Caenorhabditis elegans: one gene and its partners. The protein of the gene in region 3 purifies or fractionates together with the protein of the main gene of each other region. This does not show direct contact. Each region holds a gene or a part of one and is shown on either strand. Other genes may lie near its edges.

Region 1 (2,696 bases), on a different chromosome or scaffold from region 3:
TATATATTTATCTCAAAATGGATCTTTTTTTCAGTTTCCGACGTTTTTAGCTTGAATAGCATAACATGTTTCTGAAGGTTTTTTTTACTCAAAAAAAAAATGAAGACTGAGGTTTCCCAGATTCTTACGTGAATGTCAAAGATTTTTTTTTCATGGGAGGCAGGCACGGTTCAACGACATAACGCCTGCCTCTTACCTGACTATGGCGAGAAGTCAACGATTTGAGTTTACACCATAACAGTGGTTTTTCCGCAGCGACCGACACTTTTCGGGTCCCGCGCCGCAGTATCCAGAACGCGCGGCTCGAGTCGCAAGGCAGGCGAAGGCGTTTTGAAAGTTCCAGTTATGATATTCAGTCATTTTGAGACCATAAAAATATTTTTTTTTTGTAAATCATTTTCCGCTGGCTGTTCTTCACCTTCTATAGGCCATAATTCAGATCCTCATTTCAAGGGTCCAGCCATCTTCAATATCTGAAATATTTTCGGGGACCTTTTTTATAATAAATAAATGCATTTATTTCCTTTCAAAAAGCCACAAGAGAGTGAAAGGCATAAAAATTAGAACTCATTTCTTCGGCGGAGTCACGGGACTGGGTGGGGACCCGTCGTTCGGCAGTGGCTGGACGAACGATCCTTTTCCAGTGGGTGTATTCGGTGGCCCCCACCCAAATCTTGCCGATGGCGACATCTTGGTTCCGATGACCAGAAGTTCGTCGTCTGAAAAATAAGTTATTTTGAAAACCATATAAGACGACTACTGAATGAAAAGAAACTCACTAGTCACATTCGGGAGAAAATTTTCTCTGACGAGAATAAATCCGATGAGAAGAAGGAGAATCGATGATTTCATGACAATATGACGATCTTTGGCTGTGCTGCCCGCTTTTATTCGGACGATTTTTAGTATCCCACCATTAAATATGTATGGTGCTGGGAACAATACCATCCGAATTTGCGTATTGTTCCCACCACATCGATATTTTATAACATTTATCAAAAACGACCAAATATCATATCAAAACGACTGAACATCATATAAAACACTCTAAAAACTTTAAGGTTTTGGCAAATTGTCAAAATTTGGCAAAATATAAACTTTTGAGGAAATCCAAAGCAATGTGGCATGTTCCGACCCCTACAATGTTTAAATACAAATAATTGAGGCAAAATTACAGTACAATAAAAAATGTAAAAATTGTTTTTTGGTCGACTTCCAAAAATATGAGTTATGAGCGAAAACGGAGTAATTTTCTTTTTTTGACTGTAAATAAAAAATATTCAAAAAAAAAATTTGTGAAAAGATTCATCATGATATTCAGTCATTTTGGGAGCATAAAAATGGTTCTCAACAATTTCCCCACTGGCCCTATTCTACCTTTAGAGAACATTAATTTTTTTGGCATACGTTGAACACTTTCATCATTAGCTCACTGTGAAAAAGTTTTCTTCTAACTTAAGCTCTTCACAGTGCAATTTTTTTAATATACAAGTTCAAATTTTTATAGCACGTTTTTTTTTTTGATAAAATTTTTGTTGGTGTGTGAAATTTTGAAAGAAAAGATAACTTTGAAAAACATTTCCAATCTAGTACACAAGGTCTTACTAAAATTTAAACTCAGATTTTCATTCATTAATTGTTCACCAAATTTTTATTTTTCAGTACACCAAAATCCGACTCTGGGCGATGACCGAGTTTGACGTCATCGTCCATCTTGATTTGGATATTTTGCCAACTCGAGACATCTCAACCTTGTTTGAGTGTGGATCATTTTGTGCCTCATTTCGACACTCGGATATGTTCAACTCGGGGGTTTTCGTATTGAAAACCAATGAAACTGTACGTTTTTTGATCCTCTAAAATGTTTACAAATCAAATGCAATTTAAGGTCTTCCATGACATGGAGCAGCATGTTGCATCAGCGGAGTCATACGATGGCGGTGATCAAGGATTTTTGAACACTTACTTTAGCGATCTCAAGTTTGCACCAATGTATGACCCGAACAAAGCACCGCATACGTGCGAGAACTATTCCATGAATCGATTATCTGCACAATTTAATTACGATATTGGAATGTATTATTTGAACAATGGAAGGTTACTTGTGGACCCTGCAATTTTCCATTACACTCTTGGGCCAACAAAGCCATGGTTGTGGTGGACCTATCCGATATTTGACTTAAATTGGATGTGGTTGGATGCAAGGTAACATTAGCTATAGACACAATTTTTTTTTCAAATGTCACATACATTTAAATTTCAGGCAGGAAATGGAGCAAGGATCAAGTGCAGATTTTGATACATGCGTTTCTCTGGCCACCACAAATTGCTTGCTCATAGTTTCTCTACTTGTCATAAAGCTGGTAAGAATTTATAAAGCTGAGTAAAAACTTCACAAATTATAATATTTTCAGGTTATCGAGCGCTTTGTGGTCAACGTAATCAGTACGAGGAGTGTCAGCAGCATAGAAACTCATTTAGTTTCTCAATCCATATATTTGTTCTCAATGTGGTTTGCATTAAAACTTGCACATCCGTCTGCACAACCTGTTGCTGCCTGGGTGTTTTTCACGTCAAATTTGGTGAGTTTTTAACAATAATTTTTTTTAAGTTGAATTTTAGAGGCTTGACTGCAGAGTAGAGGGTACATCACTAATTTTCGACTGTGTACAAAAAATTTGTTTGAAATATTTCTA
Region 2 (3,839 bases), on a different chromosome or scaffold from region 3:
TTCCAAAATGCCAGTGCACTAATTATTTATTGTGTAAAAGGTTAGCAAAAGGTTTCTTATACTAGACTGCATTCCAGCTACTGGTCTTATCCCGAACAACGCTTCCACTTCATTATCACCATTCCCGCGCACTTTCCCCGGTGTTATTTACTTTTTTCTCAACGATCAGGTTTATATACATATTTTTTAAAGTTTCGTTAATGTTAATCGCTTAACATATTGCATTTGATGCTCATTGGTCGACAAAAGTTTTGCAAGTAGTGTACATTACTCAACAAATATTATTTGTTTGTTGTTTTTCTTTTTGACTAATTAATTCCTCTGGAAGTTTTCTCCGCTGAGTAGCAAGAAATTAATTTACTCTCTCAGCAGAATGATTATGGAATTATGGAATTTTCAGCGTTATTACTCGAGATAAACATGTGTCAAAACAGAGATCTAACGAAAGCCGGATCCCATGTGATTTTCAATTCTTGTTATTCACACATGCACCTTAGTTGTTCCAGACCATTCCCACATATCAAAACAGAATATACTATATTATTCATTTTTTGATAACCTGTAACAGAGAGTCATAATCATAAACAACTGGATGAATAGAAACCACTTGGTTCTGGTGTTCACTGGGGGAGAAGGTAGGGAAGGGGAATTAAATTAATTGGGTTGCGTCCCGGTTATCGTTCATAAATACTGCTGATAAGGATCTTGGTAATAAATAAATAAAAAGTGTCTTGGTCTCAGAGTGTGATTCTAGTTTGGATCGTAGCACAAAGCAACTCTCGGTAGGGATCTCGATTGTCTCGGACTCGAACCATCATTTGGTAGGCGGACTGAAAAATTGAAGTATACTGAAGAAGTGGATTTCTTTTTAATATTTCAATTTAAGAAAAAAAAACGTATTTGCTAAGCGTCCGTCAACGGCTCTCCAGTACAATAGCCATCGCGTTTACCTTATGGTCAGTACCCACCAAGTCATAGTGAATCATTCGGAACAGATTCGTAAACAACTTTGTTGGATCAATCTCGAATTCGATAACCTGACGTCCCGGAGTCACCGGACATGACGGGTTGTCGTCACACATATCATAGTTGCTCCTTAAAAAAACATTCAATGTTTTTCGGTGTTCTGCAAAGAAAACAACTTACAACAGCCCAAAGCTTGGTAAAAACATCCACCCACATCCGAACCATCCGGTTGAACGTTTAAAGATTGACACTTCGACGCCCAAATTGTCATATCGTTTGTTAGAATTACTGGTGATGTCGAGGAAAATTCGAATAGGCGAGTTGAAGGAAACCGGGTAGGTATCATCACCGTTGCCGTTTGTAATTGCACCGCCGTGAAGTTCAAACTTTGTGTCTACAATTTTTGGTATTTAGGGCTCTGTTTTACTAGAAGTACTGTACCTTCTTTACACTGGAAAAACGACGGACGAACTCGTGTTCGATTCGGAAGAGCAACGCATTCTTCTTCTTGTTCTAGAGAAGAATCTGCCATAAGGTATGGAGCATCCGGTGCAACTTCAGGGTCATCAGTGTTATCTTCGTTCGAGCCAGCTACTTCTGCAGCTTGATTACTGGCATCTTGATGGCTACCAAAGTTTTTGAAAGATCGAAAACGAGCAGGCTAAAAAATAAACTAAATCAAAACAAACACAAGTAAACAAAAAAATACCACTTCTTTTTTAATTTCAGCGCTATCTTGCTCAAATTCTTCTAAACTTGCAAAAACAAAAGGGAATATTAAGAATAGTAGAATAAAACGGAAATTCATCGTTAACAGAATTTTTGTTGAAATCTTCACTTGGAAACTTTTTTGGAACTGGCCGCAACCTGGGTGTATCGAATGTTTAGAATAAAACACAGATGAGTGCAAATTGAATAGAGCACTCGACGCACGAAAAGGTGCGGGTTGGTTTTTGAATTGCCTCAGGTGCTAGCGGGAGGTCGACGGGTGCGCTCTGTTCTGCTGTTTTCTGTGCTTTATATACCTGACCGTCTTTTTTTGTAGAGCGCCCAACATGTGGGGCGTTCTTGAAAGTCCGACAAAAACGCGATTCGCACCTGGTTCCAAAGCTCCGCCAAATCACTCGAGAGCCCGCATTTGTCGCTCGATCAATTTCTAATTAGAGCAAATGGTGAAGCACTCGAGATTGCCATTTTTGGCATTTGAAGATTTGCTCATTGCTTTCTAGACGGCTCTCTTCCTCACTCTTGACAAGTTTTTATCAGACACTCGTCACAGAAATGGTCTGCTTATTTCCATGGGACAGTGCAAACACAGAGCACAAAATAAAAACAGAAAAATAACAGAGTTTCTTTATTGGAAAAAAATGAGGGGGATGGAGAAAAGAATAGCTTGCATGAAATACATGTTTCGATTAGAATCATGAAAGTCAGAAAAAAACCACAGAACAAAATTGCTGATATTACCAAAGAAAAATTAAATTCGACACATATAAAGCTACACGATGTGGACGATGCGATCACTGGGCCAAAACCGAAATGATCTTAGATCATGGTATGAACAAGGAATTATTGTGCTCAATGGAATGATGGAATAAAAAGTGAAATAAAAACAATCTCGATTCCCTTTGAAAAGGTGACATTGAACAATTGAATTGCTATAAAATGATGTGAAAGTGAAACAAGTTATGATTTGAATATTTAGAAAACATGGAAATTTAATGAAACTTTAACTATTATCCGTATACGATGACTGATCATCGATTGCATGGGCCAATGCAGCCGCCCGAAGGGAGTCAAAATTTTCAGCCCCTGATTGAGCAGCCATTCTTGAAAACAGCGAGCTCTGATCATCCAGCAAAGTGATCGGTTTGTCAAACTCGACGAGCTCTCCTTTTTCAAACACCTGCAAGTTGCGAACCTAGGCATTGTTTGCTTGTTGAGAAACCACTTACCATTACATTATCGCTGTTCATAATGGTGTGAAGACGGTGGGCCACCGTGATGATTGTGGCGTTTTTGAAAAAGTCTCGAATTGTTTTCTGGATGCAAGCATCTGTCACTCCATCAACATTTGCGGTTGCTTCATCAATAACAAGAATTTTGGATCGGTGGATCATTGCTCGGGCAAGACAGAAAAGTTGACGCTGACCGACAGACAGGCTGACTCCCCGTTGGCCCAATTCGACGTTCAATCCTTTTTCTTTTGTGATGGAACGTTTAAGCTCACACTGAAAATTTTTTCAACGATTATCCTACAGAATCTATTAAAAATTTCGATTTCATATGAATTTCGGAATCTCGTATTAAATTAGACCGTTGGATCAGATTTAGGCACACATAGGACAAAACTAGGGCTACGGTGAGGTGAAGTTTGAACTTGGTTAAAATATGAGAAAAAGTTGGATCAGACTTGGGAGGGGTCATGTCCAAGTCTTCCTCAAGTCTTGCTTATGTCTTGTCCAAGTCTTGCTCAATCTTTGCCCAGTCAACATTTTACTTTTTCAATAAAATTTGTAAAGCCAATGGTGTTAAAACAAGATTATAGGGGCCATAAAAATGGCTTATAAAAATTTCATTCTCACATGTTATTCTTCAATAAATTAAAGCCATACCTGCTCTAACGCAAACCAAATAGTAGCATCATCATACTCATCGAACGGGTCCAAATTCTCCCGGACCGTTCCTGAAAAGATTACGGGCTCCTGCGGAATGATAGACATTCCTCCTCTTCTGAAGTTAAGACTAATGTGATCCAGATCCACACCGTCGATAGTGACACGTCCAGAGCAGTACTCTTTCAGTCCAAAAATAATTTTAATGAGTGTTGATTTACCAGCACCAGTTCGGCCGACGACTCCAATCTAAGTTTC
Region 3 (3,839 bases):
CTGTGACCCAATTGATCCAAAGAATAACAACTAGATTTATGGCACTTCCATTTTCAACCGGATTACAAAAACCTTGGCATAATTCTTAATTCACAGGTGACCCTCTTCTCGATGCTTATCGGTGCCAGTTTGAAGAACAAAAATATTTTTGTGGCCACGTTCCACGGGTTTTCTATGTTAGATATGTTGTTTTACCTTGAATTTGTGTGAAAAACTTGACCCAAATAATTTACAGTGATTGTAATCTTCAAAGTTATAAAGTTGCAAAAATGCTAATCGAATTAGAAAAAAGATTATGATCAAGGGGGAATCTTCGGAAGAGCTGAGTCTTTCCAAAAAAAACTTCAAGGTCAATCCTGCTGGGGAGGAAGTGCAACATTATATGATAATCGAATTCTCAGGCGAATTTAATTGGATTTTCTTTTTATTTTCCCTGTTCTCTTCCGCGTAAAGCAGGAAAAAATGTGAGTTATTCTTGATTTCCTTCATCGAGAAGGTAAACAGATCAGGTCAAGGCAATCGCCTTCCGGAGGATATTGCTAATATTTTATTCGAATTACTTTATAAGGGAACACTTTAAAAGAAGCTTCTAATACTGGCCTTCTTGTACTTCAATTTGAGAGCAGCCTCACAGTATGGAATGGCCTTGTCTCCAGAATACCATTCGCAGAGGAGGGTTGGAAGTTGGTTTTGGAATCCTTGGAAGCTGGTGAGAGAGACCCCATTGATGATCACCCATGGGACGAACTTGTGCTGAAATAGTTTAAGTTTCATGAAAGATCCGTTAAAAATTGTTAGATTATTTAAAATTATCAGTCAAAGTTTTAGAAAAAACGAAAAAAAAAATTAAAAACTTTCAAAAATTGGAATTTATCATAACTATTTGAATTCAAATTTTACGGTGATTTGGTAAATCTTCATTGATTTTTAAATTTTTGAAAAATAACCTGCTCAGGCCAAACATTGGCTGTGGCCGCGGCGGCTTTATTTTGAAGATCAGCTCCGAGCTTTGACACCAAACAGGATCTGAAAACTTTCAGCTCTTCAGAATTTAAACATTTTCTCAACACAAACTCACTGTGTCAATCTCTGAATATCCCCTCCAATTTGAAGTTTTTCGAAACATTGTTGAACAGCATCTGCAAATTCAACCTTCTTCTGAAGACTCTCTTCAATACAAGAAAGAGTTGGAAGTGGGCTCTGGTCTTGCATGGAGTCGATGAAGCATCCTTCGAACTTGTTAATCGAGCATTCTTCCTCTCCGTGCTGGCACTTGATTGTTCCATCTTCCAGGACCTTTGCATTTCCGAATGGGACTAGTTCAATGTTGACATAGTTGGCAAAGTTTTTGAAGACGATTGGGTATAGTTGCTTGGTGAGGAAGTTTTGGCAGTCTGGGCAGAGAGCTTCGATCAGAACAGTGATGTTGATTTTTTGATTGTGAGTGGCGGCGCGATGTCTGAAGATTTAAACAAAATTTTAAAATTTACAGTTTCAAATAAGTATTTTATGTTATGATACTAACTTATCACAGAAGGAAGCGAATCCACATTTCGCCTCAAGATCCTTATTCGAGCACCACAATGATGTCGGAATAGCAGCACAGTTGATTGTGGCCTGAACAGCTCCAAGGAGCAAAATTGCGGCAACGAGTCGATAGAGCATTTTGAGCAAGACTGGCTGGATGGTGGGGGTCAACAGGCAGCGACATGTGGTGTCCATTGAAAAGATAAAAACAGAACAAAACAGAGATGATTGGGTCAAATGAATGATTTATGGTTGTGCTGATGTTAGGGGTTTTTGCAGGCGGAGGAGCAACTATCGATTTTTTTGATAACAACATTTTGGATTCTGAAACTTTTTGGGTATTGCCAAACCGTGGCATTCAGAAAATTCAACAATCATATTTATTGTTGAAAAACGTCCTAAGTGTGAATTGATTTTCTCACAATCCCTTATTGTAGAACACTACTTCAGGCGCATCGGCTCGGGAGAATATCTCTTTCTGAACTGATGCTTCCAGTTTGGTAACCTGAAATATTGGGTTTCCAATGCATAATTATCTATGTTTTATCTTACTTCAACTGCCGTCTTCTGCGGGAAAAGTGCACAACACATTGGAGTGGTGAAGAAGAGAGCCATCCCAGCGAGCATAGTTTGAATCGGGTACTCGGAGTATTTCATCCAGGGACGGGTGCGGTAGTACATCGTTCGTGTGATTCGGTTCATTATGATTGGCGTCATCACTGAAAATTACTGTCTTAAAATATATTAGCAGGAGGCAAATCTATAAAAGCTTAACATTTGATAAAACCTACCCATATCTGGCATTGCCATTGCAATCCGACTCAATGTGACTTGTGCTATGGAGAGTATAGCCATTTGTCGGGACCTTGCCAAGAGCTCTCCGTTCTCATCACGTAACTCCAATCCTTCTGTTACTTCGCTAAAAATCGTCTTTAAAATTTGAATAATTCATGTTAATCAGCTCACTTGCTCCTTATCATCGGAATGTTGATTGTGTTAGCCAATGCTACAGCGGCAAACGGAACCAAGCGAGCAGCAATACTGTTCTTGTTCTGGAATGTTATAAAGGAAAATTCGGCAGATGTTTTTTCAGCTGTTTACCTTAACCATCGCATTCAGTGACAGAGCAGCAGCCATAGCTCCTCCAGTAGCACACGAGTAGGAGAGAATGAGCCTTTCGTTGCTGGTTTTACTGTTTCCACTGCGGTTCGTGTAGTTGACAACTGCATTAAACGATTGATTAATCCAATGGGAAAATACAACACCCGGGAATGTACGGTAAAGGCTCAAGAGCATTCCGTTGATGAGCATGTTGGCGGGCATCTGAAACTGTAGATATTGAAAAGAGAGGCTTCTAGGGCAAAGATTGAATTTCATTAGATATTTTTATAATTGTTTTTAATTATTTTTGGAGCAAAGAAATACCTTCTGGGAAGTTGGCGTTAAATTTTTGTTCAAGTTTGGCTCAAAAAATAAATTTGGCTCGGAATTTGGCATGGGCAAAAGTTTGGTCAGACTACGCCAAATTAACTAAAGATTGAGTCAACTCTGGCCAATATTTAACACAAACTTTTTTGTGTTGCTTCAATTGGTTTTATATGTACCTGTGCACTCATTCTTCCCAAGAAGAACATCTTCTCCCCGGTATCCGGATGATACGTGGAATCATACAACGTCTTTGCCTTCCACAACTCGCTCACAGTCAACGTCGGACTGACTTTTCCGTTCTTGTAGTCCAAGACAATTTGTCGGCATTGCTCTTGTCGTGCAACTGATGAGGTCAGGGTGAGTGGGTTAGTAAGAGTGAAAAAGTGACGGACACGACCTGGAAAAGAGGATTTCTTTACAATGTAGGTTAATAAATGTTAAAAATCAGAAGTAAATCAGATTGTAATTTATTGATTTCTGGCGTTTCCAAATTTTCGGGTCTCTCAAGTTCAAAGCGGCACAAGAAAAGTTTGAGCCAAAGTGTTCCAAGAGTTTGATCAAACTTGGGACAAAATCTGGCGCAGCCTAAATCCAGGTCTTGTCAAAATCTTGCCCAACTTTCGCCGAAGTTTTGCCAATTTCTCATCAACGTTAATAGTTTTGGGCAAAACGTGGGCAAGAAGCTAGAGCCAAATACCGAATAATTCGATGAAAAAGGTGTCCAATGTGCTATTATTGAAAAAGGTGTCCAATGTGCTTCGCGATGTGCTATTATTCACTTTGAAAAATGCAAGAATTTTGCAATGCACCGCACATTAACTTTCAGATACATCCCATCTAAACAGTCTTAACTTCGCTGGCACTTTTTGGCAACCTGAAGAATT

What was found.
Region 1: the proteins of F37H8.5 (region 3) and T10B10.9 fractionate together in Caenorhabditis elegans (co-fractionation; one large-scale study listed by BioGRID). This does not show direct contact.
Region 2: the proteins of F37H8.5 (region 3) and ZK470.6 fractionate together in Caenorhabditis elegans (co-fractionation; one large-scale study listed by BioGRID). This does not show direct contact.

What each region holds. Positions count from the first base shown.
Region 1 is NC_003284.9:15,162,660-15,165,355, reverse strand, and holds T10B10.9 (uncharacterized protein), read right to left. Parts: upstream 949-2,696; coding exon 780-948; intron 720-779; coding exon 568-719; 3' UTR 501-567; downstream 1-500. Other genes in the region: T10B10.8 (Nucleotide-diphospho-sugar transferase), read left to right, coding at 1,663-1,839, 1,889-2,205, 2,264-2,363, 2,415-2,582.
Region 2 is NC_003284.9:4,175,534-4,179,372, forward strand, and holds ZK470.6 (MD-2-related lipid-recognition domain-containing protein), read right to left. Parts: upstream 1,775-3,839; coding exon 1,676-1,774; intron 1,628-1,675; coding exon 1,408-1,627; intron 1,361-1,407; coding exon 1,147-1,360; intron 1,096-1,146; coding exon 951-1,095; intron 831-950; coding exon 738-830; 3' UTR 532-737; downstream 1-531. Other genes in the region: mrp-6 (Multidrug resistance-associated protein lethal(2)03659), read right to left, coding at 2,696-2,872, 2,922-3,197, 3,582-3,830.
Region 3 is NC_003280.10:11,186,134-11,189,972, reverse strand, and holds F37H8.5 (GILT-like protein F37H8.5), read right to left. Parts: upstream 1,768-3,839; 5' UTR 1,723-1,767; coding exon 1,526-1,722; intron 1,460-1,525; coding exon 1,079-1,459; intron 1,027-1,078; coding exon 948-1,026; intron 754-947; coding exon 577-753; 3' UTR 536-576; downstream 1-535. Other genes in the region: sfxn-1.2 (Sidoreflexin), read right to left, coding at 1,946-2,032, 2,080-2,246, 2,319-2,446, 2,494-2,579, 2,629-2,850, 3,132-3,352.